Arabidopsis thaliana: one gene and its partner. The protein of the gene in region 1 interacts with the protein of each later gene in a pairwise test. Each region holds a gene or a part of one and is shown in the gene's direction. Other genes may lie near its edges. The genes, in order: ATPD and TIFY8.

Region 1 (3,709 bases):
AGCTCTTTTTGCTAGCTTTGAAGTTTACAACCATATGACAATATTCTAGAGTACTTAGGCGGCTCTAGCCAACTTCTAGAATACTTATACTAATCTCCTAAACCCTAATCTCTAGGATCTTCAAGAATCAGGATCTTCCTTAATCTACAAGCTTATCCCTTTTCCATATTTGACGAGAAGGAAATTCACCATATCTTCTCGACCGACATTCGTCTTTGATCACCATGCCAAGTCAGCAACTTTACTTGGCTTCTCACATCAACCGCTACATCCCTGCCACGTTAGCTCACACGTCCATATCAGTAGTCTCTGCCGTTTAGTGTGATCTGATGCAACTTCTTGATTTCCGACAGCTCCTTGATATCCATCAGCTCACTATTGTCAGAATCTACATCTTCAGAAATATGTTTAGATTTTTAATTAACTTAATCAGCACTAATACAAAAAAGCTATTCTCGAAAAAAAAAGAAGAGTTGATTAATCTTTTAAAAACTAAAAAGAGGGAATAAATTATAAAGCAGTTTCCCTTGTTGTGTGCTTGTAAAATTTTTTTTTTTCATAAAAAGGTATTAGTGTTGGTGGTAATGACAGAGTAATTTAGTAAACATATATTATTTTAAGATTAATTTATTAAAAAAATTATTGATTTAACAAAATATTTATGGAACTTAATTTTATCACTTTCTTAGAAAGTTTTTTGGACAGTCTTATCTCTTTATCATAACTCTTCGTTATGTATTTTGTCAATGATAAATATTTCTACCTTCATAAAAAATGTTTCAAATAATCATGTTTTTAATCATCATTCTTTTTTACATTTTTACTCCTTAAGTTTTTAGCAATCTTTAAAAAATATTTACAATATAACCTTAACACATGTAGATTTATGTAATAATTCAAATATTTGATATAACCTTAACACATGTAGATTTATGTAATAATTCAAATATCTGAATATATATATATATATATATATATATATAGTCAAAAATATTTTGGTTATTTAATACAAAAATAAAAAAAATTGTTAAAAATCATGAGTTCTCCCACGACATCGCGGGAGTCCATAACCTAGTATATAAAATCATTGAAAATCAGTTACAATCTCTTGTTATTCAATTTATAATATATGAAAATATTCAAAATCAAGTGCTCTTCAAAAATTAACAAGTATTTTGTTGAAAACATCGAAATTGTTGTAAACGATTAGGTTTTAAGGATTGTTTCTCTCTGTTATTGATCACATGCCCGGCTCAAACATGGCCTAGACTCAGTGCTACTATATCCAAAATCCTTAATGTGTATTAAAAAGAACAAAAAAAAAACTTAACATGTAAAAAAAAAAAATTGGGTCTTTGGATCCTATGCCCCAGCATCTCTGACACATGCTCTAAGCCGGCACTGATTGATCAATTGTACAAAATACGATATATATATATATATATATATATATATATTATATGGATACAACAGTAGATATTAAGTCTCCTAAAACCTACTAATGTGTCATATAATAGACATCCATAACATAAATTAATTTTAGAGATTTTTAACACTCGTTTAGTTGAAAAATAGGACTAATAAGAGGTATAATTTGAAGAGGTTTAAGAAAAAAAAAATGTTCACATAAAATATTGTAAGAAATAATATCTCATTATTGATCCTTTTATTATAGAAGATTTTAGTTTAGCAAAACTCTATTTTAGCAGAACACATAAAAGGAACAAGGATCAAATCCTTTATGTTATGGATATAACTAATATAAATTTGTGACATAAAAATTAGGATAACAAGAATGAAATCCTTTAAACTCAATAAGGAACACAGATATCACACCAATCAAACAACTCCACGTGTCGATTCCTCACTCCTTCTCAAACCACAGCCTAATCCTTCTGAAAACTCCACACAAGATAAACCTTCTAATCTCCACCGTCCATCTAACCACAATCCAAAATCTCCACCGTCCATTCTCATCTCCCCCAAAAAACCTTACCTTCTTCTTCTTCTTCCTCTCCTCTATCGTCTTCGAGAAACCACAAATCTCTCTTTCTCTCAAACTCTCTCAACAACAACAATGGCGTCTCTTCAACAAACTCTATTCTCTCTTCAATCCAAACTCCCACCATCCTCCTTCCAAATCGCCAGATCTCTCCCACTCCGAAAAACCTTCCCAATCCGAATCAACAACGGTGGAAACGCCGCCGGAGCAAGAATGTCAGCCACCGCAGCATCAAGCTACGCGATGGCATTAGCAGACGTCGCGAAAAGAAACGACACAATGGAATTAACAGTCACAGACATCGAGAAGCTCGAACAAGTCTTCTCAGATCCACAAGTACTAAACTTCTTCGCGAATCCAACAATCACCGTCGAGAAGAAACGTCAAGTCATCGACGACATAGTGAAATCGTCGTCTCTTCAATCTCACACATCTAACTTCCTCAACGTCCTCGTCGACGCGAATCGGATCAATATCGTGACGGAGATCGTTAAGGAGTTTGAGTTGGTTTACAATAAGCTAACGGATACACAATTGGCGGAGGTTAGGTCGGTGGTGAAATTGGAAGCGCCGCAATTAGCTCAGATTGCGAAACAGGTTCAGAAGTTAACCGGAGCTAAGAATGTTCGGGTTAAGACGGTTATTGATGCGAGTCTTGTGGCTGGTTTTACGATTCGGTATGGTGAATCCGGTTCGAAGCTTATTGATATGAGTGTGAAGAAACAGCTTGAAGATATTGCTTCTCAGCTTGAACTTGGTGAGATTCAATTAGCTACTTGAGATTTGGGAAAAATTGTATAAGAGAAAAATTTGAGAATCTTTTTTTTTTGTGCAAGTTTAATTTTTTTTCTCCTCATCTTCTTTCTCTATTAATCAATCATATAATATACAGTACTGATGATATAATAATGATTCTGAGTTTATTATCTTTGTAATTGTTAAATTTAGTGAATTCGAAAACGAATTCGAATAGTATGTTTGCGGATTATGCGTTTTGGGGAATGGTTTTACTGTTAAATTGCGGTTAATCTCGGTTGAATAGAGTAGTGGCAATGTCAACTTATTGCATTGATGAAGGAACATGAATGAAGAAGAACTTTGAACTGTTACATTGTGAAGAAAGTGTAAATCTATGTATGAATGTTTGGTTTGTTGATTGATGTTGGACTGGATTGGTAGGATATACGTGCAAGCCGAAATATGAAATTTATACAAATTTTGAGACCAAAACATTTTAATGATCTTATGAAAACACTAGAACCCCCATCTCACATACTTGTACGATCTACACCAACGATCTCTTTGATCTTGCATATACGGCAAGTCGGCAAACAATAACTCTTACCATACATTACAAAGGAGGTGTGATCATTTAGTTTTGGGGATTGCTTTGATTAGCCTGGGTAAAATACCCGAACCCGAAGAACCAAACCGAACTCAACCCGAAAAAACCTGATCCGAATCTAAACCTAAAATTTTAAAATACTCAAACAGATCTTAAACTTCAAAACCCGAACCCGAACCCATCCGAACCTGAACCCGATCAAATATCCGAACATATTCGAAATATATATATATATACATAGAAATAATTTATTAGTAAGAATCATTTTTACATCAACTTAAGTGTCTAAAATATTAGGATTTTAGGATATTTTGTATAGTTTTAGATATTTTACCTACTTTTCGATAGATTCGGATAAAAAA
Region 2 (5,062 bases), 9.6 Mb from region 1:
GTTTCAAAGGAGGAGCTTGATAACTTGCGCCACAGCGGAGCACCACTCGTGCTTCACTTCTGGGCTTCTTGGTGTGACGCTTCGAAGCAGATGGATCAAGTTTTCTCTCATCTCGCTACTGATTTCCCTCGTGCTCACTTCTTTAGGGTTCGTCGTCTCTGTTCGAATTTTATCTCTTTCAATTGGTTTTTGACTTTGATTGGTTTTATTTATCTTCTTAGGTAGAAGCTGAGGAACATCCTGAGATATCTGAGGCTTATTCTGTTGCTCTTGTGCCGTATTTCGTCTTCTTCAAGGTAAACTTTAGGCATATTGATTCTTTGTTTGGTTGCAATTTTTTGGCTTATTGACAAAGCTTGAATCTTTGTCACTGCACTGAATCCTTTTCTTATTGAAGGATGGCAAAACTGTGGATACACTTGAAGGGGCAGATCCATCAAGTTTAGCTAATAAAGTTGGCAAAGTTGCTGGTTCTATTACTCCTGCAAGCTTAGGGTTGGCTGCAGGGCCAACGATTCTTGAAACTGTTAAGAAGAATGCGAAAGCTTCTGGACAAGACCGAGCTCAGCCTGTATCTACCGCTGATGCTCTCAAGAATCGTTTGGAAAAACTCACCCTGTTATGTTATTCATGAATGGTACTCCTGAAGAGCCTCGATTTTTAATATCTATTGAGTACTTTCTTTATAGTTGGAATTCTTGTGGATATATATCAGGTAGCTACTTGGAGCAAACATGTTGCTAAAGTTGACCTGCTACTGTTGTTTGAAGAACACGTGCTATGTCTTGTCGTTGAAGGAATTATGTTCATATGGGAAGAACATAAGCCTACTGGAAAGTTTACCCCTAGCTCTATTGTTAACCCAGATACTTGAGCCTCCATATCACAAACATCTAGTTAAGGTTTGTGTAGTAAGAACAAGAAAAACAACACGTGTTCCCAATTCCCATATAAATGACCATTATACTTCTATCAACCCAATTAATCACAGTCCGGAGACTAGTTGATTAAAAAATCAGCTAATACTAATTTGGTGGTTTCAATAAACATCTTAAATACTCCATAATTAAACTAGATTAAAGTGGGAAAAATCGTCATGAGTAGTTGTAAAATCGATTTCATTTAAGAGTATAGAAATTCGTCATGAGTGGTTGGTTCATGAGTTCTCTCTCTTACTCATATTAGAGTAAGAAATCAAACACTTATAATCATTCAAAATTCAACAACTCTCATCTCAAAACCATATATTTAGGTAAAGTTATATGCATACATTTTGCATTTTAATTTTAAAACAGATTATTTGGCGCGTAATGATAAAATTATGTGTATAAAAATTATTTAACTAATCGATCTAACAACCACATATGAGTAAAGTAGTTAACATTGTACTACTACACCAAATTATAGTGTGTTGGTTAGATTAGATACACAAACTCACTTTCTCAAATCAATAACATTATGAATCTATGATAACCTTAATTTAAAAAGAGTCTATAATGCCATGATTTTACAATCGTACTTTTTTCTTTTGGGCTGAACTTTTAATCATATATTATTTGAAAGATGTGATTATTATAATATTAAAGGGAATTAAAATCATGTAAGAGAAACCCAATAAAGTAGCTTGAAGAAGAAAAAGACAAGCTTTATTATACACTTACCCAGAAAAACAAAAAACAAAAAACTGATAATATCTCTCTCTCTCTCTCTCGTTGAGTGTGTCCATGAAATAATACTCTGCCAGAGACAGAGAGAAAGACTGTAACGGAGGATGTGGTGGCGAAGTGGCCACACTGACACACTGGTTTCATGATGGTGAACCACAACAATGGCCAGCGACCCACTGATATTGATTCTCGTCTCCGACAGACAGAACAAGATAAGCTCTTGTTCCATGACTTTTTAGGCTCCAAGAATCCTACTTTAGCATCCACTTCCATGGCTGACCATAGGCTACCACCGGATAATAAGGCGGCTAAAGCGGCGATGACTCCTTCCACGGCTTCTGCTTCCTCCGCCGGTGGACTCGGCGGTCTCTCCTCAACCTCCGATCTCGGTTCTGCTCTGTCTCTCTATCTCTCTCTCCTGATGTTTTTGTTGTTGTTGACGTAGTGTGCTTACGCTGATGAGGTTTTGAGCTGATTCCTCTGTACATTTAGGGTTTCTATCTATAGAAAGTTCAACTTTTGTTACATAGATTCGATTTAAAGTTGGATTCTTTCTTTTCCCCCTAGTCTGGATTAACGATCGAGCTTTGATTCACCATGATTTGAAAATGTAAGAGATCATGTGAGTTAGTTTCAAATTTTTTAGTCAATTCATTTATGATTAGATCTCTTAAGTTGAAAATGGAACATCTTTGGGTTCATAAGGTTGAACAAAATGTGAATGTACATTGTCTTGTTTCATTTCTTGCCTCATTGCTTTTTTAGTTCGACAATTTAAGAAACATGAACATGGATTGTGTGTGGGCATGTGGTTGCTTGACCTCTTGTAGTGTTAAGGACTCTCCCTCTCTCTCTCTCTCTCTCTCTCTCTCTGCCCAACCATAATGCCCTCTGGTGGATTAGTTGGGACATTGAGAGTGAATTTGACTGATGAGTTTGGTGGGTCATAGCCATTTGAGGTTGTGATCCTTTTTTATATGAATTGGCCCTTCTTTATTGCCTCTCGTTTTCTCTCTCTATCTCCTTGAGTTCCCTCCCACAACAATCTTTAAGTTACTTATCCATATTTTATCATTGTTTAGTCGAAAGACACAGCGGCGGTGGGAATCATCTTGATGGGATACAATTGTTTGGACCAAGAAGTGATGTTTCTGGCTCAATCATGAGCAATCGGTTTTCAGGAAATAAGAGAAGTAACTCTGATTCTCACTTCACGACTCAGGAGCACCCAGAGACTCTGCATTGGTCCAAGGTAACTAAAAAAAAAACAGAACCTACACAACTTCACCATGGTCACAGCTACGTAGAACTCAGTTTCTGTAATATGTCATTGTCATAACCTAGTTGCTTAGAAACGGACCTGGAAGCTTCTCCATGAATGTGAATCCTTTGGCAAACCAGCCTCCACGCGGAGGAGGACAGATCAGTCATTTGCTTCATCAGCTGTCTACTAGCAGGTTCAAAGATGAGAACGTAGGCCCATCAGTTATTGCTCAGACAGCTGCTGATGAAGGTTCACGAACAGGGATGAAAGGTCCCGGTATCTTGAGTTCTTTTACAATGCCAAACTCAAGCAAGCTCGAAAGTTTTGCCCCTTCAAAGTCAGTTAGCTTCTAGTGTTTTGTGTCTCTGGTCTTTCGATACTCTTCGAGTCATTTCAATACACTTTGTATTTGCAGTACCGGAAATCGGAAAGACTTGGCGTCGAGTACTAAGCAAATGACCATCTTCTATGGCGGTCAAGCTCATGTCTTTGATGACGTTCACCCAAACAAGGTGATTCTCCCTAACACTTATACACTTGATATTCAAGTTATTTGACTACATTTTGATATCTAAAAAGGTAGAGAATTGAGAAGTTCATCTGATGAATGTTATTTTTTTGCAGGCGGATGTGATAATGGCCTTGGCAGGATCAAGCGGAGGCTCATGGTCTACGGGTTTGTCTCATAAACCGAAGTCGAAGAACAACACAAGTGACGGTCCATACAAGCTAGGCCAAATGTATGAAGGAGGCAGCTCTAAGGAAACACCACAAATGCCCCCGGAATTTCGTGCAAGGCCGAGTCATCAACCTACCTCCAGTGCCTGTCACCGGATCTTTACACAACCAGGTGACTTCTTTTTAAAGAAAACCAGATTTCAGCAGAAATTTTGGTTAGCTTCTTACAAATACTGAGTGGAGTAGAGTAATCAGGTCTTATTTTGCATTGTGACATAATAAAATGAGGATACAACAGTAAAGAGTTATCAACTGTTCTGGGTTTTATCAACTTGAATCTGTTTGAGGAGCCATAAAACCATGTACATGTATGATTTGCAGGTAGAGAGCATCAAGGAAGCATCATCTCAAGGGGACGAGATATCAGAGATCCGGTTCACAGATCAGATCCTGAAAAAGAAGCCACATGATTAAAGTCTGAATATGAGAGACGATGAGTGTGGCTGTTCTTCTAAGTTGTTGTTTTTTTTGTTTTTTTTTTGTTTTTGGTCAACTTCTTCTAAGTTGTTATTTGTTGACTTGATAGCTTTGTACAATGCTCTGTACCTTTCTAGGTTTGTATTCAAACTCATCTCCTCAATGATTTAGAGAATAATATTTTCTCATAGCTCATATATAAACATATTGGTCAACCAAACCTACTATTTCTAGGCCTATCGATTTTCGTATATTTCCATGTAAGGCTGAGCATATGGATACATCACATCACAAGAGAATCATATCTAAATCAACTCTGGCTCTACTCTGGTTAGCTGTAACTCGAAAGGAGAGTCACTTCATATCACCTTATTCAAACCCTTCTTCGAGTCAGAGGTGTTCGTTCATGGCAGATATATGACTTCTCAGCCTCTCATTCTTAGTACATTCCTCCTGCCATTGAGAAATTTAGCACTACGTAAGTAGATGACTCTCGGGCTTTTCAGTATAAACACTTATTTCCTATCTTGTGCTAACCTGGTATGCTCTTAGTACAGTGTAGCATTTTCTTTGCTCTGCAGCTGCAGCTATATACTTTTCTTTTGAAGCATCACGGAGCCTCTGCTCTTCTTGAAGCCCAAGTTGTATTTTTCCAATCTTCTGCACTTTAAACATTTTGTTATGACAAATCATACAGCTATAGATAGGTAAGATGGGTTAGTTCATGCTTTGTGCCTCAAATACCTGATTCAATATAACTCAGATTACCTGTTGGATTCCTTTCATGACTCCTTCCATTGAATCAATAAGCTTCACACGGCCAGCAGGAGTACCAATCACGTCTTGAAACTACAATCAAGTCAACGGAATTATGGTGAAACTTTGACTCACCAAGAGATATACTAAAAGGGGAAAGCAGAGACGTAAATCAACTTAGTAATGAACATAAGCTATTCTCAACGATATAAGTACATGA

The links.
Region 2: the proteins of ATPD (region 1) and TIFY8 interact in binary tests that used the Arabidopsis thaliana proteins (3 or more experiments, as listed by UniProt).

The regions. Positions count from the first base shown.
Region 1 is NC_003075.7:6,098,722-6,102,430, forward strand, and holds ATPD (F-type H+-transporting ATPase subunit delta), read left to right. Parts: upstream 1-1,992; 5' UTR 1,993-2,077; coding exon 2,078-2,782; 3' UTR 2,783-3,143; downstream 3,144-3,709. Other genes in the region: AT4G09649 (uncharacterized protein), read right to left, coding at 1,840-1,977. UniProt on the Arabidopsis thaliana protein: F(1)F(0) ATP synthase produces ATP from ADP in the presence of a proton or sodium gradient.
Region 2 is NC_003075.7:15,715,450-15,720,511, reverse strand, and holds TIFY8 (TIFY domain protein 8), read left to right. Parts: upstream 1-1,644; 5' UTR 1,645-1,809; coding exon 1,810-2,056; intron 2,057-2,749; coding exon 2,750-2,919; intron 2,920-3,011; coding exon 3,012-3,268; intron 3,269-3,346; coding exon 3,347-3,443; intron 3,444-3,555; coding exon 3,556-3,781; coding exon of another isoform or gene 3,782-3,846; intron 3,847-3,852; exon of another isoform or gene 3,853-3,990; coding exon 3,991-4,079; 3' UTR 4,080-4,280; downstream 4,281-5,062. Other genes in the region: AT4G32580 (Thioredoxin superfamily protein), read left to right, coding at 1-147, 222-296, 398-634; AT4G32560 (paramyosin-like protein), read right to left, coding at 4,477-4,539, 4,624-4,746, 4,855-4,935. UniProt on the Arabidopsis thaliana protein: Repressor of jasmonate responses.